3 linked regions of the Xenopus tropicalis genome follow. The protein of the gene in region 1 interacts with the protein of each later gene in a biochemical or structural test. Links are inferred from orthologs where the notes say so. Each region holds a gene or a part of one and is shown in the gene's direction. Other genes may lie near its edges.

The links.
Region 2: the proteins of ube2n (region 1) and znrf1 form a complex in vitro, tested with the Homo sapiens proteins (3 studies listed by BioGRID, with this or other methods). The link is inferred for Xenopus tropicalis from reciprocal best matches to the Homo sapiens genes UBE2N and ZNRF1.
Region 3: the proteins of ube2n (region 1) and trim25 form a complex in vitro, tested with the Homo sapiens proteins (3 studies listed by BioGRID, with this or other methods). The link is inferred for Xenopus tropicalis from reciprocal best matches to the Homo sapiens genes UBE2N and TRIM25.

What each region holds. Positions count from the first base shown.
Region 1 is NC_030679.2:56,094,239-56,104,309, reverse strand, and holds the start of ube2n (ubiquitin-conjugating enzyme E2 N), read left to right. Parts: upstream 1-5,042; 5' UTR 5,043-5,060; coding exon 5,061-5,090; intron 5,091-10,071. UniProt on the Homo sapiens protein: The UBE2V1-UBE2N and UBE2V2-UBE2N heterodimers catalyze the synthesis of non-canonical 'Lys-63'-linked polyubiquitin chains. This type of polyubiquitination does not lead to protein degradation by the proteasome.
Region 2 is NC_030680.2:74,500,283-74,510,253, reverse strand, and holds part of znrf1 (E3 ubiquitin-protein ligase ZNRF1), read left to right. Parts: intron 1-2,864; coding exon 2,865-2,960; intron 2,961-4,689; coding exon 4,690-4,795; intron 4,796-7,257; coding exon 7,258-7,315; 3' UTR 7,316-7,347; intron 7,348-9,052; 3' UTR 9,053-9,971. UniProt on the Homo sapiens protein: E3 ubiquitin-protein ligase that plays a role in different processes including cell differentiation, receptor recycling or regulation of inflammation. Mediates the ubiquitination of AKT1 and GLUL, thereby playing a role in neuron cells differentiation.
Region 3 is NC_030686.2:52,264,338-52,274,364, forward strand, and holds the start of trim25 (tripartite motif containing 25), read left to right. Parts: upstream 1-4,898; 5' UTR 4,899-5,154; exon of another isoform or gene 5,155-5,214; intron 5,215-10,027.

The sequences.
Region 1 (10,071 bases):
AATTACATTTACAGATAACTTTCAAAACACTGAACATTTTTAATTATAATTGTTTATTGTAGCTTTTTAAATAATGCTGTTTTTCTGATTACTAGCCATCCATAACTTCTCATTCCTTCATATCAACTGTTATACTGTACAGGTATGGGATCCCTTATCTGGAAACCCATTATCCGGAAAGTTCTGAATTACAGGAAGGCCATCTTCCATTGACTCCATTTTAATCAAATAATTCACATTTTTAAAAATGATTTCCTATTTGTCTGTAATAATATAACAATCCTGTTATGTTAATTCAATGTTTAAGTGATTTTTAGTAGCTTTAAGGTACAAAGATACAAATTACGGAAAGATCCCTTATCCGGGAAAACCCTTGGGCCCCCCAAGTATTGTGGATAATGGGTCCTATACCTGTACTTTTATTAGCATAGATTGTACTGTTTTCCTCCACAGCTTCTGACTGTATGTATTTGTCCACATCAAAGCCTGCCGTGCCTGGTCCTTTGTAAACTATGTCTGGCTATTAGTCAAGTTTTCCCTTTGCATATGCATCTGTGATGGAACATCTGTTGTTTTGAACACAATCTTTGAATATTGCAGTGTCATTTCCAATTTATAAATATCCAAAAGGACAACTGATATCATCCTTGATAGAATGAATTTATAACAAAACATGGGTCCAGGAAATGTGCAATTATCAATACTTTTTTTTTGTACATTTAAAGCAAATATGGCTAGGCCAGTTGTACTTCCTTTATACTTCTCTAATTAGCCTTGAAATGCTTCCTCAGCCCCATTTGTACTTTTGCAATAAAAATTGTTAGTTCATTTACAAAGCACGAGTGCAGTTGTGATTAAGCAAAGTTTGCCACAGTTGTTGCAGCAAGTTCTTGCACTTCCTCATAGATGCTCTCAGCAGCACTGGGTCCATATCTCCTTTTCTTCATGCAGGGTACCCACAGTGAATCTTACCTGTATTGTCTAAATGTATTAGGCGCCTAGTATTAAAAATAAGGAGAGATAAGTATTTTTAAAGGTAGTTTACCTTTAAATTAACATTTACTATGTAATGTCTTATTAGCAACTTTTTAATTTTAATTTGTTTATATTTGCCTTCTTCATTTGCCTCTCTTTTCAGCTCTTAAATAAGGTTCTATAACTCACAACAGTTTATGAATCTCACTGTAAATTACAATTATTACGATTAAACAACATTAAAATGTTAAGATCACATCACTGTCTAATTTAGTTTAATTAAAAAGTACTTCCCATTCCCATAAAAACAAGCAAGGAGTAATACCAAAAACTTTGGAGGGGCCCCTCTGTACTGAGAACATCAATTGTGAACTGGCCAAATGAATGTACATTATGCGCTTGTGTATATTAAAGGCCAGCTTCTTTATGTCACATGATTGTGTGATGTCACAGGATGTGTGCTCCTTTGAAGGGGAACCCTCCCTAGTTCCAAATGTAACTATAGTAACTCCACTTTGCTCCAGATTAACTTCTATAATAACATTCAAGTGCCCATGCATCCAGTTAACCACTGTGTAAAGCACATTATATAACCAAAAAGGTATCCGTGAGGTTGCTATATTTAAAGGAGCATCAATCCACAATAATTAACAAGAATATAAAATAGGTATTCCTTTCAAAAATCTGTAAATGTATTACTAAAATTTATCATATGACTAATACTTATAAAGTACTCAAGATCTCTTAAAGACTGCAGGGAAGCTGCAACAAAACAAAAAAAAATCTTTATGTTTATACGTACAGTATATAACCAATAATGTGCCAAGACTTCCTTAATCATCTCAGTTTTTAACCAGAAGCTTTGCTAGCATTTCGCTGCCCTACTCAAGAAAGAAAAGAGAAATACAAGATACACACAGTGCATGGCTAAGGGCCTATTCCAAAAAAGGTTGAAAATTAAGACTCTTATTTAGTCCACAAGGCGCTTGCGAGGGGATATGATTACTCTGCACAAGTACATTAGAGGGGATTATAGACAGATAGGGGTGTTCTTTTTTTCCCTTTCTATACAGACTTGCTTCAATCAGCCTATCTCCATTTACCTCCAATGTGACATCCAAGAAGTTTAACTTTGTTTGGTCATGTGTATGTGAACTTCAAATGGAAACTGTTTATATTTAAGGCATCCACAAACTCAGTGGGGGACCCTGCTGCACTGTAACAATATCATTAATATATTGATGTAAGACTTGTTCATCCATTTTACTATCCTTTAATAACCACCTTTCCCATGATCCCAAATATAAATTGGCCTAATTAGGGGCACATTTTGCCCCCATCGCCACTCTCTGAGCCTGGAAATAGTATATGCCATTAAAAGCTAAAACATTTTTTTAATTGAACTAAATAAAACAGTGATGTGATCTTAACATTGTGATTTACAGTGAGATTCACAAATTGTCATAAATTTTGTAAGTTATAGTTTCTGGACTTTGGAGATGTTTACTGTTTCTTACTGTGGTTGGGAATGTCCTGCATTAAAATTAGAAGTATATTACTAACCCTTAAATTAGGGTCACTGACCAAGGTATTATCTCAAACTGTCTCAGAATGTCACTGTCTGCATCATACTAAGGGACAGATTCATTCAAATTCAAATTTGTGTAATTTTAATGGATTTTTCTACCATAAAAAAACTCTCAAATTAAAAAAGCACTAATGTTGACTTGATAAATTAACATAAATTGGTGTTTTTGATTCATTTGTAAAATACACGATTTTCAGCACCAAAAAGTATGATTTGTGAAAATGAAAATAAATGCAAACTTTCGTAAATCTGGCTTTACAATGTAATTTAAAGGTGAATTACCACTTAAAGTGAAAATACAACTGTTAGCACACAAATGTAAAATTTAGCTTTTCAGAATCCCCTGCTTTTTTTTTTTTAGGAAGCAGATAAAGGCCCTTTAAAAAAAGGGCAACTAATTTCAACCTGTGTAAAAGCAAGAATGTTTTCATGTTTAAATTGAAATAGGATACAGGTTATAGTTGTCTTTATAAAAAATAAATAAATAAAAAATGAAGTATTTTTCATGTGAGTCATCTTGTGTTATCTATTTGCTTGGACTGCTGCCATACTGGAGGCTTGGACCAACGCCACAGGAACTGAACCAGGGAAAAAAATATGTAGGAAGGTATGTAAATGATTCCCAGACAGATGTGTCTTCAGAAAATGGTCATAAGTCCCTGGTGAAACGCAACCTCAGTAAAGACAGAAACATGCAGATTGTGAGCTCTACAGGGCAGGGACCTTCTTGTTTCTTTGACATTTAAATCTGGGGAATCTTTAATTCAGCTGTACTTTGTATTCATTTGGACCTATTATTGTAATGACTCCCTGTTTATTCTATTTATTTATTGCTGTAGAGTACTGCATACATAAATAGCACTATATAAATAAAATTACACATAAACACAAATACAGGGATAGTGCTCATAATCCATAGACCTTTCTGCCCAGTCCTGATTGCCGCTCAAAGGTACTAAAGAATGACAAGAAACAAAAATTTCTTTGTGAGCATAAAGTCTGAAAAAATATATTATCTCCTTCAGTAGAAATAGGTACAAATGTAGGTCTGTGATGCAAGGTTAGCGATTAAATTCACTAGGGCACGAGTAACAAATTGAGGCCTGCCAAGTGAAATTTTTAGAATGTTTGTATTTATTTCCTGGTATTTATGCACCAACATATTTCTGAGGCACCTTCTGCTTCATTGGATATTAGGGTAGTGGCACACAGGGAGATTTGTTGTCTGTGGCTAACTTTGGCAACAAATCTCCTTAAAATGCTTTCCCACTGGCAATAAAATGAATCTTTGGTGGGAAAGCACACATGGCTTGAGCACTATCTGCAAGGAGTTAGTATGTTCCCAGAGAATGTACCCGCCTTCCAGCCCGCTTCAACATGGCACCCGCAGGGTGGTATTGGGCCTGTAATGATGTCTGATGTGTGTCACACCAAAAACATACAGGCAAGTTAATTGGTTACTCATTTTACTGACCATAATGTGATAGGGACCTTAGACTGTAAGGGCAGTGGCACACAGGGAGATTAGCCGCCTGCAGTTAAAGTCAGATCGCTGGTGGGAAAGCACACACGTCACTTTGTTTTCCAGTCATGCAATGTTTTCTGCACAAGAAACTTTGGCCAATGTAGTGCTGCATATTCCTTTCCACCAATAAGTCACTTTATTGCCAGTGGGAAAGCATTTTAGGGAGTAGGCAGTTAACTTATCTATATGTTTTTGGTGTGTGAGATGGAACTGGACTAGCCAGAGCTACTCCAGACACAGAAAGAACATACCAACTCCTTGCATGCTCAAACTGGTTTTGAATACAGGATCCCAGCACTGCAAGGCAGTCCACTAAGCCACCATGAATTAAGCTTTTGTTGATGCTGGGGTTTCTGCAAAATGTGTAAACAATTTCTGATAGACTGGCTCTATACACTATTACCCCGACTTCTATTCAAGTAGAGTCTTATATTCTGTTACCAAAAGAATCAAAACATTTGCTACCTGCCTAACATTACATTCAGAGGGTGTTAATATGAAGTTGCTTTTTTTTCTGCTAATATAATAGTGAAGTCATATGGTTTTATTCAAGGTGTCCTACTTTCAGGCCTTATAGCATAGTCTGACTCCAGTTTCATTTCTTGTCTCGCCAGCTGTATGGGGTGGGGTGAAGCTGAAACCTCATCATGCTAACACGACTGTTCGTTTCTTACGTCTTGTTGGTTTTCAATGTCTTCTATGCTCGCTACAGGCAGTGCATAGAAGACATACTGAAACACTTAAGCATTGTTCCTTGGGCTAAAATGAACATTCTGACTACACACACCAACAAGCGTGATTACATCATTATACATGAGAGGAATAACGAGTCCCGTTACAACTACATCTCCCATGAGCCTGTGGGCTGTCGCAATGACGTCAGCGGAAGCGGATGCCGCGCTCTCACTTGTGCGTGACAGGGGGATCCGGTGGCACGCAGAGAGTTGGAGGCTGCACGCATTATAAGACAGGATGGCCGGGCTGCCTCGCAGGATAATCAAGGTAATTGGCGGCTTGTAGCTAGTGAAGTAGTAGCGATTGCTTTACGTTATGTCTTGGGCTTAGATCAGCGGCATTGATCCGAATGAATGGAGACAAGGCCCGGGAATGTCCCCGCCCTCCAGCCCGCTTCAACATGGCACCCGCCGGGTGGTACTGGGCCTGTAGTGATGTCTGATGGGGTTGAGGGTCCGGGGTCGCTATGTGTGCGCGCCTTGTATAGGAAACCACCCCAACGGGGATATGGGGACAACGTTATTTTTTGTGCTTGAAGTAAAACCTTGTGCCGACCACACCCACGCCATTTGCTTGTAGTCTGTTAGCGTTAAGGCTACATAAGGGTACAGATATGGGGGGGGGGGTATATAGGAATGAGTTACACTGTAGCACATAGGGTGACTCCCCCAGACACTGCATGCCATTACTAATACGTGTGCTTAGTGTTTAGGAGCTATATCGCATTTTACTGCATCAATTGACGGCAGAGGTGTCGGCAGTAGACCATTTTATATATAGGTAGGCTATTGATTAGTAAGGAGGGTATATTTCATCTTGGCTCACTATTTATTGCACCTCATTTAGTTAAATTGGGAGCCAAATAGTTCTGCTTGTCACTGTACCCCAATGTATTCTACATTTTTACATGGCTGTTGGTTGAGCCATGCTAAGGGGGATTTTACCCTTACTAAATACTAGCGCAGAGCTGCTTCTAGGTAAGTGTTACGTTTTTCTGGGGTATCCAGGTGACTTTGGAACAACTCACGAACCACTAATTAATTTAGGATCCTTTAAGCACCATATTATAATTCGTAATTACTGTTCTTCAGTGGCGTTTTCGGTCAGGTAAAGGTTATGGAGACCCAACCTAAGTAGCGTGGACGGGGATTCATTGTGGTTCCCCAACACCTAGATTAAGAATTCTTATTCTAGGTAAACTACTTAATGACACACAGAGCTACTAGTTGCAGCCACAAAGTACCAGAAAATACCCTTCTATAGATAATACTGAGAATTGTCTCTGCTGAAACACATATTGAGAATATTTACTGTTGTCTATTTTGTAGCCACAACAAGTAGCTCCATCTGTCAATGCTCTAAAGAGGCAACCAGGTTCCCTCTTTTGTGGTGTCTCTGCGTAATGTGCAGTCTCTCAGAAGACCTGTTCTTGTCCCAGCAGCTTGTGATAGGTTATATTTTGCCACAGGATTCACTATTAGCTTTTCAGAACTTCAGCCACAACATTTATTTGTGGAACGCATGGCATATACTTTATTCTGAAGTTGCATCATCCCTTTAAGTCAAATAAAGATACAGTTGAATGTCATATGATGTGAGGCACTGAAGGAAGCAGATATCTGTCCTTTAAATCTTCATGCTAAATGGTTGGGTAACTTAGGTTGATAGTATTGCCATTTACAGTGGTTGGGAAATTGGCCTATGAATATCAATATTGGACTAGGTACTGTGCTGAAGCCCAGATTTTACTTAAATTCTAATTAAATATTTTAAATGTTCATTTTTTGGGATGTCTGCCTCTGCTAAGCTCTATCTGCTTCACTTTTTTATGTGAATCAGTGACAACCATCTTCTATATTGTCAGCAGTGTTTCCACATTTCCTGTCTAAATTATATCATATATTATGCAAGATACTTTTAACCAGTATTTGAACCTTTTTTCCAACCTCACATGTATAATTAAATATTTTTGCTGGACTTCTTACATACATCTGATATACAAAGAAAACATTTCGCAAAATACACGGATGAAATGGAAGAAGTTTGTGGCTGGATGTGATGAGATTGAAAAATATAGCACACTCTTGCTTTCAATATAGTAGCTATTTAAGTGCATCGCTGTAACACATGCAGAAAAACTGGCATATAAACCATGCACCAAAGTGGTATATGTAGTTTAATTCAGCAGGAACAGATCACCAGCACTTCCTGTCATGATTCCAGCTTACACCACTTTAATTTCTAAAGCTAATTGCTGGCAACCTGTCAAAATGCTGCACTGAGTGCTGGGAGAGAGATGTTGGTGATGGTGTAGACAGCATCACTAAATAAAATCAAACGGTTAAAATCATTTGGCTTAAAAAGCCCTTAGATGTTTTGTTTTAATGCATATTATCATTTAATGCATATTTGTTGTAAAAGTTTTTGGTTTGTTTTGCTGTTGCAGTTAAAATGAAACCGTATTTTACATGTAAAATATTTATTTGAAGCTACACAGCAAATCTGAATCTCACTATGGCTTCCTTGGAGTATTTCTAACATACATAAGATAACATGCAGTGAAATAATGTGCCATCAATTGGGTGTTGACCCTTGGCAACAATATAGATATTGCCTGCATGCATTTTATTTTCCATTCAACGTTTATAAATTGTCTAATGCAATTATCATGATCTTCTGATATGTCTAACATAAGAAAGCTTCAGTTTTCTTATTAGCGAATCAAGTGGAAAGTCTGGTTTGATCTTGTCAAGGATCCATGTTTGTTCCTTGCTATCTGTGGTATTCTCAAAAGTTATTACTAACTCGAGTTCAAAGGCATCAGTACATTTACTGGCCTGCTTCTTTATTTTTCAGTTTTATTCACTATTACATACCATTTTTTCATGATATTTCTTGTCCTGATTTCTATTTCAGTTTATAGCTAGTTCACATGATTTTGCTCTTTTTTTTTTAGTTACCCTACCTGCCTACTGAAGATCTTTCCCACAACCATTCCTTATGGGAAAGATTAAGCCTTTTACTGTGTTGAATATTTATAGAACCTGTTGACAAAATGTAAATGCAGTTAGACCAAGTTGCAATTGTTTGATGTGTCAGAGTTGCATATTGATCATAATCCCTCCACTTTCCACTGAGGACATTCTAATTCAGCAGTCTTGATGAGCGAGCTGTGGAGACTGGTATGAACAACACGGTTCTAATATATGTTTGTTTAAAGAAAAAAAAGTGCGTTTAAAAGATTGCTAGGCATTAACCATTTTTCATTTTGAAAACCTATATAATGAAGAGCTCTCTCACTTGGTTAAGAGATTGTAAACCCAAAATTATATTTTGACTAAATAAAATGGCATTTTACTACATTAAGAGTTAAAACCACCCCTGTAGAACTGGAAAGACATGCTGATTTTAAATGCATTTTACATTTACAGATAGCAGAAAAATGTTAATGAATGTAAATTAAAAAGTTGCATAGAATGATATATTCCTGTATTAAGCAAAATTTAGTTTGGGTTTACATCCCCTTAATAGCAAGGGTTATTGAAAAGATCAATCAGTGCGGCTAGCTAGCCTTTATGAAGCTTAGTTTGCATATGCAATTATCAAATATTCCCATGTGACTGAAGGCAAGCAGCTACAAAAGATAAAATTGTATGTTTTTAGTGCTTGCTAAGAGGTTGCTGCTGCTGTCCAACACTAAAGCTGGCCATACAAGCACCGATGATATCATACGAAACCTAGTTTCGTATCTCAATAAACATGCATACAGTTTTCATCCCTGCACCCTCTCTTCCAGCTGTATATCTTAAGGGAGGAAAATTAAGAGGTGAAAAGTGTGCAGTTGAAACCTGTGCTATATATTTAATTTTGCTTGTGAAATTTACTGTTGATATTTACTGATTTTGACTAAGTATTATGGTTGGGCTTGTTTATCATTCTGCTATGAGCCCTATTTATTCTAATGGGAGGAGAGGCATCTTCTTGTCTACTGTACTGGTATGCAGCACTGAGCAAGCTAAATAGTTTTACTTTGGAATTATAGAGAATTGTTGATGTGTGTATAGTGGAAACACTTTCAATGCATAATACACATTAAAAAAGGTTGGTGAGACCAGTAGAGAAGCCCTTGAAATTGCCCTTCATTTATTTGAATGGGAAATGTCTTTTCAGCCTGAAAGCACTCACCAGAGCATCATTGACAAAAAGCATCAGTACTGGCACTGTCAGTAGTTTCCTATTATGTGAATGGAAGGCTGCAGAGAGCAGTTTCAAACACACAACTGGCAGAAATTGCCATGTGTGCCATCTCTGTACCTTTGAAACAGATATTTATTATCATTCATTCAGTTGCTGTTTCTCTAATAATAATACAGTATTTTATAGTTGAGGGTAAGTAAGCTTGCATAAATCCATGTTGGTGGCAAAATAATCTTATACATTTTTATTTTGTATAGACTGTCATTGTGTTTTTATGGTGTGGTTTTGAAAAGTCCCTTGGCATAATTACAGAAACGTAATGATGCAGGGAACCTGCTTATAATGAGGTACCTTGTTCCACATATTCATGCAGTGACACAGAATTGCTGGTTCCATCTTGCTTATTTCATCCACATATGGTAGTTGCATTTTAATCAATACTCATGGAAAGTTAATGGCGTTTTTCAACCAACACCAAATATACACTGTTGTGTAGTGAGAAATGCACATTTTTGACATTTGGCTGACGCAATTGATTCCCCTATGAATGCACAATTACACCAATGAGGGAATTTAAAAAAAAAATACCACATTTATTTTTTTTATTGCCTTTTAAAGCATAGTGCACATTATTGAAAGACCCCTCATTATCTCCAGGTAATTCTGCATAGTAGATCCTATACCTATAGTAGATTCTATTCTAGAATAGGTTAATGTTTTTTTTCCATGGATTATTTTTTCATTTTAAATTACTGTTATGAATTGATAATTTAATAGAAGATTAAAAATACATTAAAAAAATTAGAGCAATTTGCAATAGGAAGGGGCAAATAGTGACTCTTGTTCTGAAACTGCAATATACCTTTATTTTCTTTCATTCATTTGCCACGTTATTTTTGGCCTTGATGGTACTGGGTAAGTGCAGCAGCAGTCCTTCACTAAGGTACCCTTCTCTCTTGTGGAATTTTAGTGTTTGACGTCCCCTTTTGATAAGTCAAAGTGGTTGCTAAATTATTGGCGTCATTCGAGATGCATGCTCTTCAGTTTTTAA
Region 2 (9,971 bases), on another chromosome or scaffold:
CTGGCCTTTGATGACTCTCTGATATGCGTATGTGTGACTGTACGAGTGTTTGTGTGCTTGTGGTCAGGGTAAGCTCCAAAGGAAAAGTCAGATATAAAGAAAAAGAAAAAAAATATTTAACTCCCAAGCTAGGTTGCTGACGTGTACTGCTGCTCTGTTAGTGACTTTAGTAAAAGCTGTGGGAAAGCTGCTGTGACTGCAGAGGAATGTATCAACAAATTTGTCAAATTGTAACAATTTCAAAAGACAATGATCTGGTTTACTGAGCTGCTAATAGGAGACGTGAAAGGAAAATATAATAAATATGTTTTGTGAAGAAGAATATGATCAAAAACATAAGAGCTTATAAGTATTAAGTTGTTAAATTTACAGGATTTTGCTAGAACAGACAATATGCAGGCACATTTATTTGAAAGCCATAGAGGGCCATACACCGCTTCAAAACTTCAGTTTGACATTGTGACATAAAAGGGGGGGAATTACCATACACCAGACCCCCCTCACCCCTGCATCTGCAGGGTCTGCTGTATGATACTTAGGCCACGGAATTGAAAGATTTCTAAAACACGTGTTGGCTTGTGGACATACCATCGGAAGCGAACACCGCACACATTTTCTGTTCCTGATACTATAGGCCTGTAACTATTTTATGTTGAAATGTTATGCTTTCAAAATATGGCTTTACTTTGTATAATGGACTGGAAATAAGTAAATTAAAACTGAAGAAGGAAACTTTAAATAACTGGTTTGCTGACAATTTGTTAGGTGCCTTCCAGTGACCCTGACTACTTACCTTCTACATGGGCCGGCTCCTTTCTTTAAATACCACACTGGCACCAAGTTACTTACAGTAGAGAGGGCTGCCACCCGAATGCTTCAGGCTCAGACCTTCCAGTCCTTCTTAATAACACAGAGTTAGTCTTTCTTGCACATTGGTGCATTTGCTCATTAATTGCTCAACAATTATGCTCCACGCCAGCTCAGCTTTTTTTTTTTTTTTTTTTTTTTTTACCACACACAGCACCTGCAGAGACATGGAGCAGCTGTAGGGAAAAAAAAAGCCATAAAACACCCTGTCCCACTCCCACTCAGGCTGTTGTTATGGGCTGCTGTATGGCGTAGGCCACTTTTTATCTTTCACTCAAAAATTCTTCTTTCCATTGTGTAGTCAGTCATCAGTGTTTAGTTTATTAAATTGTCCTTGTTTGTGCCTATTTATGCTGCTTTATCACTATGCCTCTATCTTGGGCCTTAGCTTGTCTCAGATATTATTGCATTTGCTGGAATCTTTCTTGCGTGATGGTAATTCAGAATAATTTTGGGCCAACCATATTTTTTTTTTGCCTCCAACATTCAGTATAAAATGTAAATAATTAAACCACAAACAATGAAAAATGAAATCCGATTGCAAATTGTCCTAGAATATCATTGTCTACATCATACTAAAAGTAATTTAAAGATGAACCACTCCTTAAATAAACGTCCACAGTTCCATATTTACATGTTTTCTCAGAATTGCTTCTGACACCATTTTAATCAAATAATTCAGAATTTTAAAACCAATTTCCTTTTTCTCTGTAGTAATAAAACAGTACCTTGTAATTGAACCCAACTAAGATATAAATAATCCTTATTGGATGCAAAACAATCCATAGGGTTCAATTAATGTTTTATTGATTCTTTAGTAGACTTAAGTTATAGAGATCCAAATTACGGAAAGACCCCTTATCCGGAATGCCCTTGCTCCCGAGCATTCTGGATAACGGGTCCTTTACCTGTAGTACTAAATGCTACTTTTTGTTTTTCCTTTTATCTTAATATATTCTGTCATGTTTTATGGTGTACTTATTATTTCACTCTACCATTTAAAATGTTGTTATTCTTGAACCAACAAATGTATTTTTTTTAGTTGTAATATTGGTGTGTAGGCAGCCATCTCAGTGCATTGTGCCTGATTCTGAACTTTCAGAAGGAGTAAGTGCTACATGTTAGAACTGCTTTCAGATAACCTATTGTTCCTCCTACTCCCATGTAACTGGAGGGGTCCCAAGCCAGACTTGGATTTCTTACTATTGAGTGCTATTTTGTTATCTGCCACTTTTAGCAATGTAGGTGTGAGGGACTTGCTATCTTGCTACCTTCCCATTGTTCTGCTGATTGGCTTCTGGGGGCGGTGATATCACTCCCAACTTGCAAAGCAGCAGTAAAGACGGACTGTAATTAATCAGAGCACAAGTCACATGGCTGTGGCACACTGGGAAATGAAGAATATGGCTAGTCCCATGGGAAGTTTCAAAATATAGTATAAAAAATGCAAAATTCTGCTGAAGGAAATCTATGCATTTTGAAAAAAAAAAACATATTTTCTCGTGACCGTATTCATTTAATATTGAATGTGTAACTGTAATTATATAGTGATGGTATTGTAGAGGGTATTTGCCCAGGGCCCACCAAGGCCTTAAAACAGCCCTCAATATTAATTAGGCATAACTTGGTTTGCACAGTTCTGAAAAATGAATGTATATTGAAAGAAAATGATCATATTTTCTGGAAATGATGCAGAATTTCAAAAGTGCAAATTAAAGAGTACATTATGTACTACCAATAAAGGACTTTTTAATGTGATGGTGTTACTGACCCTTTCAAGTGTCATCTTTGATGTTTTATCATGTAAACCAGAATTCAACACTTCATAAACTTGCATAATGAATATTTGTTTCCTGCTTAGATACTTATCTCCAGCACTGCTGTTCTGCTTTTTGTAATGTTTCTCTAAAATATTGTAGCAAAAAAGAAAGTGTTTATTTTAAGGCTTGCCGTCCCTTTCAGCATTATCAGGCTTTTTTTTCTGTTTGTGTCTATAGGTTTTCGTTGCCCAATTTGTTCCAAGTCTGTGGCCCCTGATGAGATGGAGATGCACTTTATCATGTGTCTGAGCAAACCTCGACTGTCCTATAATGGTATGTATTGCACCAAGCTTGTGTTGCTAACCTTCACATTAATCTGAAATATTTTTTTTTCTGAAAGCAGTTTCCTCTGTTAAGTCAAGGAAATTGTCATTCAAAGAAATAATAAGTCTATTGTATAGGTTTGTATTCGGATGTATATTTCGCAAAGTCTTAACTGGTTATTCTTCTGATATTTTTTTGAGCTGTAGAAAGTGATGTAATGTTGCCTTGGAAAGCATTTAATGTAATTCCAGCTTGTTTAGGAAGAATAACAGTGTTTTAAAGGAGAAGGGAAGCCATTTTGGCATTTTACTGCCATTCACCACATTAGGGCAAGCTAGAATTCTATATTAATTCTGCAGAAAGCTTCATCGTACCTGAGTAAACAGCCATAGAAGCTCCCTCAATTTGTTTAAGATAGTAGCAGCCATTTTAGTTTGGTCTCTGTAGCTTCCTGCAGCAGCTCTAGCCATTGGTAGCATAGATCACACATTCTGATGGGAGGGGGAGTGAGTTCTTATGGATTCTTATGAGAGTGGGTAGCAGGAGAGAGCTGCACAGACTCTTTTTCTGAGAGAGGAAGTCAGATACCAAAGTACATGTATACACAAAAGTAGAGAAGAAATCCTGTTTCTTTTGATAGAGGACTCTCTGTGCTTGTGGCTGTATTTACATAAACCTTTCTGATAAAGCTTAATTAGTTTTTACCTTTCCTTCTCCTTTAAAGGTAGGTATTGGTATTTTTTTTGGAATTTCTGGTTTTTGGTGAGAAGTTATGTAAATTCTTATCTAAATCATAGAAGCACAATCACTGCTTCTTATGGTAGATTTTAATTTGCGTACAGCATAGAATTGCTTGGTACGCTTTCCTTGCAGGAGGTCTTTTGCTCTATTTGAAGGATGTGACTTACAGAAGAGAAAAGTATAAATAAGGACACTGCCTTTCTGTACATGTTTCTTCTCCATGGTAACAGCTTGAGTTTGACTAAAATAGGGTTTCTATAAGCAAGCAGCACAGATATTTTTTCTAGCATTTGTCTCAATCTACACATTCAAGTGTAGGCTATTCTGTAATTATATTTTGTGCCCTATGCACATTGGCATTTTTAGTAAGGTTCCAGTATGACTGATTGCCCTGCAGTTAGTGGTGATGCTCAGTCAGCTAAAGAATTCCTCCAGGATTTGAATGGGTCCATGCAGTGCAATAAGGTTATTGAAAATAGTTGCTGCATTCAACAAATGTGGACCAACCAAACAGGTCACATAAGAAATCACAAACCCATGCATCTCCATGGAGTGACTTTTATAAATCATGGGGGGTCATTTATAAACACTGGGCAAATTGGCACCTGGGCAGTAACCCATGGCAACCAATCAGTAGTTTTCTTTCATTGTTCGACCTGCAGCTAGCTGAATAATCATATCACAGATATAAAATTGCAAATTTGACCAGTGCTTACAATTAGCCCCCATGTGCCCAGTAGGTTTTAATTTTATATTAGAAGTTGTCTATTTTTTATTAGGAAAAAGCCTGATTTCATTGACTACAAGGGATTATTACAGGCAACTGACAATAAACAAAACAAGCATTTGTTTTTATCTGCATCATATATAACACTTTTATTAGCAGTTTGCTACTGGTGTAATTTTTAGTAACTTCCTTCAACTTGCCATATTGAACTTTCATGTCACTACTGTAGTATGTTCCATGCATTGTAAGCATTGTAATTTCCCTGTGCAGATGATGTGCTCACTAGGGATGCGGGTGAGTGTGTAATCTGCCTGGAAGAACTTTCACAAGGGGATACAATAGCCAGACTGCCCTGTCTGTGCATCTACCACAAAAGGTAATGTATATTTTATGATTTATGTCATGTTTCTACGTGCCAAGTTCAGAATTTATTTATCTCACACACAAGTATGTTCAGTCTGTATTGAAGTCATGTACTGGGGCACAACAAGTATTTTAGTATACCACAGGTTATAAACCCCTACAAGTTGATCTTTTTATTTATTTGTTGATGAATGTTATAGGGTTATGTTTCTTAACATTGATTCAACTCATACAGAAATCTCAATAGCATTACGCGCTCTGTTTTCAATGGCCAAATCCCTATTTGGAATGGGGCAGTTCTGTGAATATCTCTAACAAGTGCCCTATTTTGATTGCCCAGTGTGCAGTGTCCTGAAGACTGCTGCATAGATTGCCTGCCAAAAGTTAGTTAGTGAATATTACAGTATGTTAGGAAAAAAGATAAGAAAGAAATAGTGTGAATCCTGTTTTTCCCCCCCCTATGTTCTGGGATTCTGCCCAACTAGCTTTTTAATGCCTAGCAGTCAACTTGTAGTTTTATTATCTAACACACAAATATTATAGCGTCCTTTTTTTGCTACAATATCTCTACTCCTGGCAACCTTCTCTTCTTTTAGTGCACCTTTTATCCACACTTCATACTGCTGCTGCTAGTTTTTTGGGTTTTTTTTTCTTGTAGATTTTATTTTTGTTTATATCTTGTCAGGTGCTTCCCCTTTAACATGTGTACTTCCTGTTTTGATGGCTTTCATCGTTCTGTATTTTGGTTACTCCCTTTTGGTACAGACACGTTGCAGCGCTTTAGAAATAGTTGCCCTGGTTACTTGGCACATGTCCCACCCTGATGTGCATTGCTGTTACTGTGGTAACCCATGCTTTCAGAATATGTTTCTGCTGACAGCTAGCCAGGGGGCAATTACTGCCCGATGATATTGCTTGTACTTGTGCCTCCCCTGCAGCTGCTAACAAACCAGAACCCTTTGGAAGTCCTTATGTGTCAGGTGTCTACTTGAAACACATTTAATGACTCATCATATGTATAAACCTGTCATAAAAATGGTTATTATACAGCCAATAAATCGTTTTTTGCCAATTAAGGGTGTTACCAAAGCTTGTGCATTTATCCTAGTGTTTGAGAAACAAATTAAGGAAACATAGAGTATTGGGCAATTAGTGATCACTATTAATTATTAGGTTTTATATTTGTAGAACAGGCATATACATCACAAAACTGTTATTATTAAGCTGTTTAATTACTCAGACAATTGGCAAATGTTTTGCCGATTAAGCTTTTTTTTAGGGGTTACTTTTTAAGCAAGCATTCCTGGACCTGTCTGGATTCTGCACCTGTTCAATAAAAGTGCATGGTAGATTTATATTGTTTGTGTAATTATATGCTATCTATATAAAAAAAAAAAGTGTGTGCAGTATATAAAGCCTAATAGGCTGTTCAGGTTACATCTAGGGCTTAGAGAGCCACTTTAACATGCAGGGGCTGTGGCCATGAGAACAACTATTAGAAACATGGAGATGAAGATGGATAAAGCACAGAGAATGCAAAATAGTGGTAAACTGAACTGCCAAATGATATCAAAAGGAGGAAACTGAAGAAACGAGGAAGAATAGAGGGATGGATTAGAGGTTTTCAGTAGTAACTTTGCAGCATGCATGTTGTGTATATAACAAAGTAGTATGCATAAATGTTGCATCCCCTAATTTATTAAAAGGCATAAAGGAGTTCCATACCAAAGCAAATAAGGTACCAGCTCAAGGGTATTTATGCAAGTGGCACAACTCTGAAATTACAGGGTACATTGTCTCTTATAATACATAAAGTTGGGTGATAGTAATTAACATGTATTAACATACTGTATTTGGCACTTCTGTGCAACCATTGGTACAGGTATAAATGATATCAATGGCCACTGAAATCCCCTACGCATTCTTAGTAACCAAATGCTTCTAAAGCCTGTCACTGTACCTGTTAAGTATTAGGGTTGTTATTAGCCCTTCTGTATCCTACTAAACAAGCTGCGCAATTGTACTAAGATTATGCCAAAACAGGGCTGGACACCTGTGCCCATTACTGGTTCTGTTTCACCTGCCCTCTAATGTGTAATTGTTGCCCTTGTTTCTCTTCTTCCTTGGCCCCTATGCATGTGTTCCAGTTTGGCACACTTTAACCATTCTTTCATCAGTCTTTTATTTGTTCTGTGTAACCTTTTCTAATAATGTTCTGTATGCTTTCTTGTATTGCCTATTTTCCCTTTCCCTGTGTTTTTCTTTCTGTGGGGGTTTTGTTTAATTTCCATTCCATGACATCTCTATTCCACATGCTGTTGTTTTTTCCATTCTCTAAATTTACATACTTTTATGTGCATAGTATGTGTTTCCATTCTTAACCGTGATTGTTTTGTTCACGATATCCTACCCTTTTTTTTTTTTTTTTTCCTCACTTCTCCTTAATTTCTCTTGTTCTTCTCCCTACATGTGCAGCTGTATAGATTCCTGGTTTGAGGTGAACAGATGTTGTCCTGAACATCCTTCCGATTGACCTGCAACAATCCAGGCTAAAATTCCCTTAAGGTATGTAAAACCTTTCCTGCTTAAACAATTACACTTAACACTAGAGAGAGAGCTAACAAATTGGTAAATGCGAAAAATCATATTGCACCTTTACATTTTAAACACCCCTTCCTGTGTCATGGGAGTTCTTTAAAAAATCAAAATATAAATTAATTTGTCATTCGACTTTTTGGCTTATTATTGTTTAAGCCCTTCACCATATGGATAGAACTCTCTGTAGTTAATCACAATATTAGAAATACATAAAACCATTGAATGCAGGGTTGCAGTAGGTCTATTGACACCTGAGGCAGCAGGCCTGGTGCCGCTCTCTACCCTTAACTCCAGTGTGTGTAATGGTGGAGTTGGTTTTTGCCATTCATGGTATAAAGTTATATTTTTTAATACTAGCAATTTAATTACTAGACCTTTAAAATATACTTATCTGTATATTTTATGTTGTAGTTTATTGTTAAATTAATTTTGTGAGGTAGCCAGTGACATATTGAGACAATTTGCAATTGGTCTTCATGTGTTATTTTTATTGTGCTTATAATTACTTAGCCCTTTGATCAGCAGCTATGTAGTATGGAATTTTAGCAAATATATGGCTGCTAGGGTCCAAGTTACTCCTGCAATCAAGCAGTGGTTTGAATGAGAGGCTGGAATATGAATAGGAAAGGGTCTGATTAAGCAATAAAAGGCAACAGTAAAATTGCAGTCTCACAGAGCAGTAGTATTTTGGCTGCAGGGATTGGTAACCCCCATTTGATAGCTAGAAAGAGGCAGAAGAGGAATACAAATAGTTAAAAAAAAAAAAAAAAAAAAAAAATGAAGACCAAGTGAAAAGTTGCTAAGAATAGGATGTTCTATAGCATACTAAAAGGTAACTTTAGGTGAACCACTCCTTAAAAAGTTACAGGTACTTTATTTTACTTTCTGTACACAAGTTTCAGAGATTTGTTTGACTAAGCGCATAAGCATTTATTTATTTATAAGTTACTTATGTCTCTTGGGCATTAAATGCACATTTCACAACAAACTGGTTATGCTGAGAAATGATGCTAGCATGTTTCCTGGCATGACCAGTTTGATGTGCAATTTATAGATGTGTTGTTGTGGACACTGATGGAATGCGCAAGCCCAGCAGTGTTGGAATGTGAAGTGTTGTCATATGCAGGAACTCTGTTATCCAGGGAATATGATGTGGTGATGTTCCCAGAAGCACAGAACATTTACATTCGCTTTAGTGTCTTGCATCAAGCAGTGCATCTAAAAATGGGTCATGCCTGCTGTGTATATTTTTTAGCCTGACCTGGTTTTTGTGTTATGACAGATGTGTGTGTATTTTTGCTGTTCTATATCTTCAGTGTGCTGTAGACTAGCAGACCTAATTTTACTACCTTATTAACTACATGTGCAATATTTCATCAGATGTATCCCCTTGACTTAGAATTACTTTACACAGCTTGGCAGTATATCTGCCCTGTGATGGGAAAAAAAATCCTCCCCAGAAGCTGCCCCTTATGCCTGTGACACCAGTTCTTCTATAATCTGCCCCTTAATGGTTTGATTGGTGCTTGCCGAAGAGCAGTGTCACAGAAGAGCACACAAAAAATTATATATATACACTGGATCATTTTCTTTAGTGATGAGGCTGCGGTACGTACTTGGGTTATTTGATCAGAGTTGCCAATTTTACTCACAATTTGCTTTTATTTTTCAGAGCACGGAGTGTCAGCCGCTTTAGGATCACAGAGACTGGATTCTGCGTCCTGCCAGGGTTGTTTGAACTGCTTTTCACACATGTCCCCTTTTTCCCTGCACTCCTTCTGTTTCCCTAAAATGGAGAAATGGGAAACCGCAACACTGAAATATATCCCATAATTCTCTTATAAAGGTGTTGGGGGAAAACAGATTGGGGAGGGGGGAGAACCGTAATGCTGTAGCCAGAAATGGTATGTTTTTAAGCAGCCCCATCAACATTGTTTGACGGCGGTGACATGAGTTCATAGGTGAAATGGATCTCTGCAGCTGTCAAGGGATTTGAACGCAGAGGGTAAAAAGGGAAATGTTTAACCTCTCTGTGTCCCTGGACATAGGATTTGTTGCAGTCTGATGCCATGATAAATGTGTGTAATTTTTTTTTTTGTTCATGGCACTTTGCACTGAACGTTTCTATTTGTTTATGACTGGGAGGAGACTGTGCATATGAGGGCCCTGTAGAGCAGGGCTTCTCATACGGTAGGCTGCAAGTTAATTGTGGGGTTACAATTGAAGGATGGCCAACAATCCCTGTTTTATGAGGTTTGGCTCTCTAAAAAAAAAATTTGAAATATTCTTATTGAACTGGCTTATACCACAGAAGAAGCTGGACAACACTGCATGCTCAATGATAGCAAGGTGATGTGTCTCCTCCAGGGTTATTTCCAGTGCTTCCCAAACAGGCGCCTGTTCATGCTGAGGTGCTACCCTTATAGTTATTACATTTAATGAATTAAGATTTTGCACATTTAAATGACTGGGTAAACTGTGGACAATGCAGATTTGTGTGTGGTGTTTGGAAAGGTGGTGAAATAGAAGAAGAAAAGGTAACCCCCACCATCTCACTCAAGAATTTATTCTGTGACCAAGGTAACCCATCC
Region 3 (10,027 bases), on another chromosome or scaffold:
ATGGGGGAAGTACCACTGGCGTTGGACCAGTCTAAGGCCTTTGATAGAATCAACCACAAATATCTCTGGTTGCTCCTTCACAGATACGGTCTCCCAGGAAGGTTTATTAATTGGATTAAAGTTTTGTATCGAAGGGCCGAAAGCTTCCCTCTTGTGAATGGCTGGTCTGGCGCGTCCATTCGGGTCTCTTCTGGGTCAGGCAAGGGTGCCCCTTGAGCTCCCTGCTGTATGTCTTCACCATAGATCCGTTAATTAGGCGGCTTGATGGTGATGCTTTGGCAGGAGTTCCCCTGGCACCCGGGAAAGCCTTGAGGGTCTCTGCCTATGCCGACGATGTCACAGTCATTGTGTCCAGTGGGGAGGAGGCAGATGCTGTGGCATCGATTGTGCAGGACTATTCAGAGGCCTCAGGTTAATTGATTAACAGGAACAAGTGTGAAGCTTTCTGGATGTGGAAGGGAGATCCTGCCTTTGATCTACCGGGTGTCTTCCCTGTGGCCCAATCCAGAATTAAAATCCTTGGAATTGAATTTGGCCAGGGCGATTATGCCATCCCAAATTGGGAGCAAAAGTTGGAAACTGCATCTGTGTTGGTCAACCGTTGGAAAGGGTTAAAGTATACCCTAAGGCAGAGGGTTGATTTGATCAAGACTTATCTGGTCCCAATTTTTCTTTACGTCAGCTATGTGTGCCTTTTGCCTCAGTCTTTTTATGGCAGGATTTGTTGTCTGTTTTTCCTGCTTTTGTGGGGAAACAAAATGAACCTCATCAAAAGGAATGTTACCTACCTGCAAAGGAAGGAAGGGGGCCTTAACATGCTAAACCCGTTGTGTTCTTTGTGAACAACTTTATTAAGTACAACTTCAGCAACCTCCTTCTGGAGAAGCCTCCTTTGTGGGCAGATATCTTCAGGATATGGGTCTCTCCTTTTCTTGGGGAATGGATGAATGGCGGCTTGGTAAAGAGTATGCGAATCCGGCACAGCCCTCTCCCACCTTATGTTGCAGGGGGTCTGAAAGCCATGCGACGATGGTGCATTACTGTGAGTGAAGTGGTTACTGCCCCAGGGCTGCGTAGCAGACAGTATGTGGGGTTACTGCCCCAGGGCTGTGTAGCAGACAGTACGTGGGGTTACTGCCCCAGGGCTGTGTAGCAGACAGTATGTGGGGTTACTGCCCCAGGGCTGTGTAGCAGACAGTACGTGGGGGTTACTGCCCCAGGGCTGTGTAGCAGACAGTATGTGGGGTTACTGCCCCAGGGCTGTGTAGCAGACAGTATGTGGGGTTACTGCCCCAGGGCTGTGTAGCAGACAGTACGTGGGGGTTACTGCCCCAGGGCTGTGTAGCAGACAGTACGTGGGGGTTACTGCCCAGGGCTGTGTAGCAGACAGTATGTGGGGTTACTGCCCCAGGGCTGTGTAGCAGACAGTATGTGGGGTTACTGCCCCAGGGCTGTGTAGCAGACAGTATGTGGGGTTACTGCCCCAGGGCTGTGTAGCAGACAGTACGTGGGGGTTACTGCCCCAGGGCTGTGTAGCAGACAGTATGTGGGGTTACTGCCCCAGGGCTGTGTAGCAGACAGTACGTGGGGGTTACTGCCCCAGGGCTGTGTAGCAGACAGTACGTGGGGGTTACTGCCCCAGGGCTGTGTAGCAGACAGTACGTGGGGGTTACTGCCCCAGGGCTGCGTAGCAGACAGTACGTGGGGGTTACTGCCCCAGGGCTGTGTAGCAGACAGTATGTGGGGTTACTGCCCCAGGGCTGTGTAGCAGACAGTACGTGGGGGTTACTGCCCCAGGGCTGTGTAGCAGACAGTACGTGGGGGTTACTGCCCCAGGGCTGCGTAGCAGACAGTACGTGGGGTTACTGCCCCAGGGCTGCGTAGCAGACAGTACGTGGGGTTACTGCCCCAGGGCTGTGTAGCAAGACAGTATGTGGGGTTACTGCCCCAGGGCTGTGTAGCAGACAGTTGTGGTTACTGCCCAGGGCTGCGTAGCAGACAGTATGTGGGGTTACTGCCCCAGGGCTGTGTAGCAGACAGTACGTGGGGGTTACTGCCCCAGGGCTGTGTAGCAGACAGTATGTGGGGTTACTGCCCCAGGGCTGTGTAGCAGACAGTATGTGGGGTTACTGCCCCAGGGCTGTGTAGCAGACAGTACGTGGGGGTTACTGCCCCAGGGCTGTGTAGCAGACAGTATGTGGGTTACTGCCCCAGGGCTGTGTAGCAGACAGTACGTGGGGGTTACTGCCCCAGGGCTGTGTAGCAGACAGTACGTGGGGGTTACTGCCCAGGGCTGCGTAGCAGACAGTACGTGGGGGTTACTGCCCCAGGGCTGCGTAGCAGACAGTACGTGGGGGTTACTGCCCCAGGGCTGTGTAGCAGACAGTATGTGGGGTTACTGCCCCAGGGCTGTGTAGCAGACAGTACGTGGGGGTTACTGCCCCAGGGCTGTGTAGCAGACAGTACGTGGGGGTTACTGCCCCAGGGCTGTGTAGCAGACAGTACGTGGGGGTTACTGCCCCAGGGCTGCGTAGCAGACAGTATGTGGGGTTACTGCCCCAGGGCTGCGTAGCAGACAGTATGTGGGGTTACTGCCCCAGGGCTGCGTAGCAGACAGTACGTGGGGTTACTGCCCCAGGGCTGCGTAGCAGACAGTACGTGGGGTTACTGCCCCAGGGCTGTGTAGCAGACAGTACGTGGGGTTACTGCCCCAGGGCTGTGTAGCAGACAGTATGTGGGGTTACTGCCCCAGGGCTGCGTAGCAGACAGTATGTGGGGTTACTGCCCCAGGGCTGCGTAGCAGACAGTACGTGGGGTTACTGCCCCAGGGCTGCGTAGCAGACAGTACGTGGGGTTACTGCCCCAGGGCTGTGTAGCAGACAGTACGTGGGGTTACTGCCCCAGGGCTGTGTAGCAGACAGTATGTGGGGTTACTGCCCCAGGGCTGCGTAGCAGACAGTATGTGGGGTTACTGCCCCAGGGCTGTGTAGCAGACAGTATGTGGGGGTTACTGCCCCAGGGCTGTGTAGCAGACAGTACGTGGGGTTACTGCCCCAGGGCTGCGTAGCAGACAGTATGTGGGGTTACTGCCCCAGGGCTGTGTAGCAGACAGTATGTGGGGTTACTGCCCCAGGGCTGTGTAGCAGACAGTATGTGGGGTTACTGCCCCAGGGCTGCGTAGCAGACAGTATGTGGGGGTTACTGCCCCAGGGCTGTGTAGCAGACAGTATGTGGGGGTTATTGCCCCAGGGCTGTGTAGCAGACAGTATGTGGGGGTTACTGCCCCAGGGCTGTGTAGCAGACAGTATGTGGGGGTTACTGCCCCAGGGCTGTGTAGCAGACAGTATGTGGGGTTACTGCCCCAGGGCTGTGTAGCAGACAGTATGTGGGGTTACTGCCCCAGGGCTGTGTAGCAGACAGTATGTGGGGTTACTGCCCCAGGGCTGTGTAGCAGACAGTACGTGGGGGTTACTGCCCCAGGGCTGTGTAGCAGACAGTATGTGGGGTTACTGCCCCAGGGCTGTGTAGCAGACAGTACGTGGGGGTTACTGCCCCAGGGCTGTGTAGCAGACAGTATGTGGGGGTTACTGCCCCAGGGCTGTGTAGCAGACAGTACGTGGGGGTTACTGCCCCAGGGCTGTGTAGCAGACAGTATGTGGGGTTACTGCCCCAGGGCTGTGTAGCAGACAGTATGTGGGGTTACTGCCCCAGGGCTGTGTAGCAGACAGTATGTGGGGTTACTGCCCCAGGGCTGTGTAGCAGACAGTATGTGGGGGTTACTGCCCCAGGGCTGTGTAGCAGACAGTATGTGGGGGTTACTGCCCCAGGGCTGTGTAGCAGACAGTATGTGGGGGTTACTGCCCCAGGGCTGCGTAGCAGACAGTATGTGGGGGTTATTGCCCCAGGGCTGTGTAGCAGACAGTATGTGGGGTTACTGCCCCAGGGCTGTGTAGCAGACAGTATGTGGGGGTTACTGCCCCAGGGCTGCGTAGCAGACAGTATGTGGGGGTTACTGCCCCAGGGCTGCGTAGCAGACAGTATGTGGGGTTACTGCCCCAGGGCTGCGTAGCAGACAGTATGTGGGGGTTATTGCCCCAGGGCTGCGTAGCAGACAGTATGTGGGGTTACTGCCCCAGGGCTGTGTAGCAGACAGTATGTGGGGGTTACTGCCCCAGGGCTGCGTAGCAGACAGTATGTGGGGGTTACTGCCCCAGGGCTGCGTAGCAGACAGTATGTGGGGTTACTGCCCCAGGGCTGCGTAGCAGACAGTATGTGGGGTTACTGCCCCAGGGCTGCGTAGCAGACAGTATGTGGGGTTACTGCCCCAGGGCTGCGTAGCAGACAGTACGTGGGGGTTACTGCCCCAGGGCTGTGTAGCAGACAGTATGTGGGGGTTACTGCCCCAGGGCTGTGTAGCAGACAGTATGTGGGGGTTATTGCCCCAGGGCTGTGTAGCAGACAGTATGTGGGGTTACTGCCCCAGGGCTGTGTAGCAGACAGTATGTGGGGGTTACTGCCCCAGGGCTGTGTAGCAGACAGTATGTGGGGGTTATTGCCCCAGGGCTGCGTAGCAGACAGTACGTGGGGGTTACTGCCCCAGGGCTGCGTAGCAGACAGTATGTGGGGGTTACTGCCCCAGGGCTGTGTAGCAGACGGTATGTGGGGGTTACTGCCCCAGGGCTGCGTAGCAGACAGTACGTGGGGGTTACTGCCCCAGGGCTGTGTAGCAGACAGTATGTGGGGTTACTGCCCCAGGGCTGTGTAGCAGACAGTATGTGGGGTTACTGCCCCAGGGCTGTGTAGCAGACAGTACGTGGGGGTTACTGCCCCAGGGCTGTGTAGGATAGGAGGAGGACATAGGATAACAAAACAAGCACAGGAATCCATTCTAATTAATCCCTTTTTCCTATTCAGATAACTGCCCGCCCCCTGTCCCCCCCTTACAGTATTTACTGCAGGGGCAGGACTACAAGTCCCAGAATGACTCTGTGTTTGCAGTAGGAGGGACAACGTTTGTTGTTGCTCTACACTACCCAGCATGCTTCACTCCAAGCAAACCAGGAAACGAAACCTGCTGTGACTGGGAGGGGTTTCCCCAATATCACATGTCCACCATCAACCAATTAGCTTTCAGTTTCTTCTGTCGCAACTACTGTAAGTCCTACGAGTTCTTCTCATTCTGTGAGTGAGAGGTTGTTCCGTCAGTAAATCCCGGTGAGTATGAGTGTGTGTCCCCCAGTCACTCAGTGAGTATGAGTGTGTGTCCCCCAGTCACTCAGTGAGTATGAGTGTGTGTCCCCCAGTCACTCAGTGAGTATGAGTGTGTGTCCCCCAGTCACTCAGTGAGTATGAGTGTGTGTCCCCCAGTCACTCAGTGAGTATGGGTGTGTGTCCCCCAGTCACTCAGTGAGTATGGGTGTGTGTCCCCCAGTCACTCAGTGAGTATGAGTGTGTGTCCCCCAGTCACTCAGTGAGTATGAGTGTGTGTCCCTCAGTCACTCAGTGAGTATGAGTGTGTGTCCCCCAGTCACTCAGTGAGTATGAGTGTGTGTCCCCCAGTCACTCAGTGAGTATGAGTGTGTGTCCCCCAGTCACTCAGTGAGTATGAGTGTGTGTCCTCCAGTCACTCAGTGAGTATGAGTGTGTGTCCCCCAGTCACTCAGTGAGTATGAGTGTGTGTCCCCCAGTCACTCAGTGAGTATGAGTGTGTGTCCTCCAGTCACTCAGTGAGTATGAGTGTGTGTCCCCCAGTCACTCAGTGAGTATGAGTGTGTGTCCTCCAGTCACTCAGTGAGTATGAGTGTGTGTCCTCCAGTCACTCAGTGAGTATGAGTGTGTGTCCCCCAGTCACTCAGTGAGTATGAGTGTGTGTCCCCCAGTCACTCAGTGAGTATGAGTGTGTGTCCCCCAGTCACTCAGTGAGTATGGGTGTGTGTCCCCCAGTCACTCAGTGAGTATGAGTGTGTGTCCCCCAGTCACTCAGTGAGTATGAGTGTGTGTCCCCCAGTCACTCAGTGAGTATGGGTGTGTGTCCCCCAGTCACTCAGTGAGTATGAGTGTGTGTCCCCCAGTCACTCAGTGAGTATGAGTGTGTGTCCCCCAGTCACTCAGTGAGTATGAGTGTGTGTCCCCCAGTCACTCAGTGAGTATGAGTGTGTGTCCCCCAGTCACTCAGTGAGTATGAGTGTGTGTCCCCCAGTCACTCAGTGAGTATGAGTGTGTGTCCCCCAGTCACTCAGTGAGTATGAGTGTGTGTCCCCAGTCACTCAGTGAGTATGAGTGTGTGTCCCCCAGTCACTCAGTGAGTATGAGTGTGTGTCCCCCAGTCACTCAGTGAGTATGAGTGTGTGTCCCCCAGTCACTCAGTGAGTATGAGTGTGTGTCCCCAGTCACTCAGTGAGTATGAGTGTGTGTCCCCCAGTCACTCAGTGAGTATGAGTGTGTGTCCCCCAGTCACTCAGTGAGTATGAGTGTGTGTCCCCCAGTCACTCAGTGAGTATGAGTGTGTGTCCCCCAGTCACTCAGTGAGTATGAGTGTGTGTCCCCCAGTCACTCAGTGAGTATGAGTGTGTGTCCCCCCAGTCACTCAGTGAGTATGAGTGTGTGTCCCCCAGTCACTCAGTGAGTATGGGTGTGTGTCCCCCAGTCACTCAGTGAGTATGGGTGTGTGTCCCCCAGTCACTCAGTGAGTATGAGTGTGTGTCCCCCTGTCACTCAGTGAGTATGAGTGTGTGTCCCCCAGTCACTCAGTGAGTATGAGTGTGTGTCCCGCAGTCACTCAGTGAGTATGAGTGTGTGTCCCCCAGTCACTCAGTGAGTATGGGCTCTGTCAGCCATTAGTGTGTGTCCCCCAGTCACTCAGTGAGTATGGGCTCTGTCAGCCATTAGTGTGTGTCCCCCAGTCACTCAGTGAGTATGGGCTCTGTCAGCCATTAGTGTGTGTCCCCCAGTCACTCAGTGAGTATGGGCTCTGTCAGCCATTAGTGTGTGTCCCCCAGTCACTCAGTGAGTATGGGCTCTGTCAGCCATTATTGTGTTTCCCCCAGTCACTCAGTGAGTATGGGCTCTGTCAGCCATTAGTGTGTGTCCCCCAGTCACTCAGTGAGTATGGGCTCTGTCAGCCATTAGTGTGTGTCCCCCAGTTACTCAGTGAGTATGGGCTCTGTCAGCCATTAGTGTGTGTCCCCCAGTCACTCAGTGAGTATGGGCTCTGTCAGCCATTAGTGTGTGTCCCCCCCCAGTCACTCAGTGAGTATGGGCTCTGTCAGCCATTAGTGTGTGTGTCCCCCAGTCACTCAGTGAGTATGGGCTCTGTCAGCCATTAGTGTGTGTGTCCCAGTCACTCAGTGAGTATGGGCTCTGTCAGCCATTAGTGTGTGTCCCCCAGTCACTCAGTGAGTATGGGCTCTGTCAGCCATTAGTGTGTGTCCCCCAGTCACTCAGTGAGTATGGGCTCTGTCAGCCATTAGTGTGTGTCCCCCAGTCACTCAGTGAGTATGGGCTCTGTCAGCCATTAGTGTGTGTCCCCCAGTCACTCAGTGAGTATGGGCTCTGTCAGCCATTAGTGTGTGTCCCCCAGTCACTCAGTGAGTATGGGCTCTGTCAGCCATTAGTGTGTGTCCCCCAGTCACTCAGTGAGTATGGGCTCTGTCAGCCATTAGTGTGTGTCCCCCAGTCACTCAGTGAGTATGGGCTCTGTCAGCCATTAGTGTGTGTCCCCCCCAGTCACTCAGTGAGTATGGGCTCTGTCAGCCATTAGTGTGTTTCCCCCAGTCACTCAGTGAGTATGGGCTCTGTCAGCCATTAGTGTGTGTGCCCCAGTCACTCAGTGAGTATGGGCTCTGTCAGCCATTAGTGTGTGTCCCCCCCCAGTCACTCAGTGAGTATGGGCTCTGTCAGCCATTAGTGTGTGTCCCCCCCCAGTCACTCAGTGAGTATGGGCTCTGTCAGCCATTAGTGTGTGTCCCCCAGTCACTCAGTGAGTATGGGCTCTGTCAGCCATTAGTGTGTGTCCCCCAGTCACTCAGTGAGTATGGGCTCTGTCAGCCATTAGTGTGTGTCCCCCAGTCACTCAGTGAGTATGGGCTCTGTCAGCCATTAGTGTGTCCCCCAGTCACTCAGTGAGTATGGGCTCTGTCAGCCATTAGTGTGTGTGTCCCCCAGTCACTCAGTGAGTATGGGCTCTGTCAGCCATTAGTGTGTGTCCCCCAGTCACTCAGTGAGTATGGGCTCTGTCAGCCATTAGTGTGTGTCCCCCAGTCACTCAGTGAGTATGGGCTCTGTCAGCCATTAGTGTGTGTGTCCCCCAGTCACTCAGTGAGTATGGGCTCTGTCAGCCATTAGTGTGTGTCCCCCAGTCACTCAGTGAGTATGGGCTCTGTCAGCCATTAGTGTGTGTCCCCCAGTCACTCAGTGAGTATGGGCTCTGTCAGCCATTAGTGTGTGTGTCCCCCAGTCACTCAGTGAGTATGGGCTCTGTCAGCCATTAGTGTGTGTCCCCCAGTCACTCAGTGAGTATGGGCTCTGTCAGCCATTAGTGTGTGTGTCCCAGTCACTCAGTGAGTATGGGCTCTGTCAGCCATTAGTGTGTGTCCCCCAGTCACTCAGTGAGTATGGGCTCTGTCAGCCATTAGTGTGTGTCCCCCCCCCAGTCACTCAGTGAGTATGGGCTCTGTCAGCCATTAGTGTGTGTCCCCCCAGTCACTCAGTGAGTATGGGCTCTGTCAGCCATTAGTGTGTGTGTCCCCCCCCAGTCACTCAGTGAGTATGGGCTCTGTCAGCCATTAGTGTGTGTCCCCCAGTCACTCAGTGAGTATGGGCTCTGTCAGCCATTAGTGTGTGTCCCCCAGTCACTCAGTGAGTATGGGCTCTGTCAGCCATTAGTGTGTGTCCCCCCCAGTCACTCAGTGAGTATGGGCTCTGTCAGCCATTAGTGTGTGTCCCCCAGTTACTCAGTGAGTATGGGCTCTGTCAGCCATTAGTGTGTGTCCCCCCCAGTTACTCAGTGAGTATGGGCTCTGTCAGCCATTAGTGTGTGTCCCCCAGTCACTCAGTGAGTATGGGCTCTGTCAGCCATTAGTGTGTCCCCCCCAGTCACTCAGTGAGTATGGGCTCTGTCAGCCATTAGTGTGTGTGTCCCCCAGTCACTCAGTGAGTATGGGCTCTGTCAGCCATTAGTGTGTGTCCCCCAGTCACTCAGTGAGTATGGGCTCTGTCAGCCATTAGTGTGTGTCCCCCAGTCACTCAGTGAGTATGGGCTCTGTCAGCCATTAGTGTGTGTCCCCCAGTCACTCAGTGAGTATGGGCTCTGTCAGCCATTAGTGTGTGTCCCCCCCAGTCACTCAGTGAGTATGGGCTCTGTCAGCCATTAGTGTGTGTGCCCCAGTCACTCAGTGAGTATGGGCTCTGTCAGCCATTAGTGTGTGTCCCCCCCCAGTCACTCAGTGAGTATGGGCTCTGTCAGCCATTAGTGTGTGTCCCCCCCCAGTCACTCAGTGAGTATGGGCTCTGTCAGCCATTAGTGTGTGTCCCCCAGTCACTCAGTGAGTATGGGCTCTGTCAGCCATTAGTGTGTGTGTCCCCCCCCAGTCACTCAGTGAGTATGGGCTCTGTCAGCCATTAGTGTGTGTCCCCCAGTCACTCAGTGAGTATGGGCTCTGTCAGCCATTAGTGTGTGTCCCCCAGTCACTCAGTGAGTATGGGCTCTGTCAGCCATTAGTGTGTGTCCCCCCCAGTCACTCAGTGAGTATGGGCTCTGTCAGCCATTAGTGTGTGTCCCCCCCAGTCACTCAGTGAGTATGGGCTCTGTCAGCCATTAGTGTGTGTCCCCCAGTCACTCAGTGAGTATGGGCTCTGTCAGCCATTAGTGTGTCCCCCCCAGTCACTCAGTGAGTATGGGCTCTGTCAGCCATTAGTGTGTGTGTCCCCCAGTCACTCAGTGAGTATGGGCTCTGTCAGCCATTAGTGTGTGTCCCCCAGTCACTCAGTGAGTATGGGCTCTGTCAGCCATTAGTGTGTGTCCCCCAGT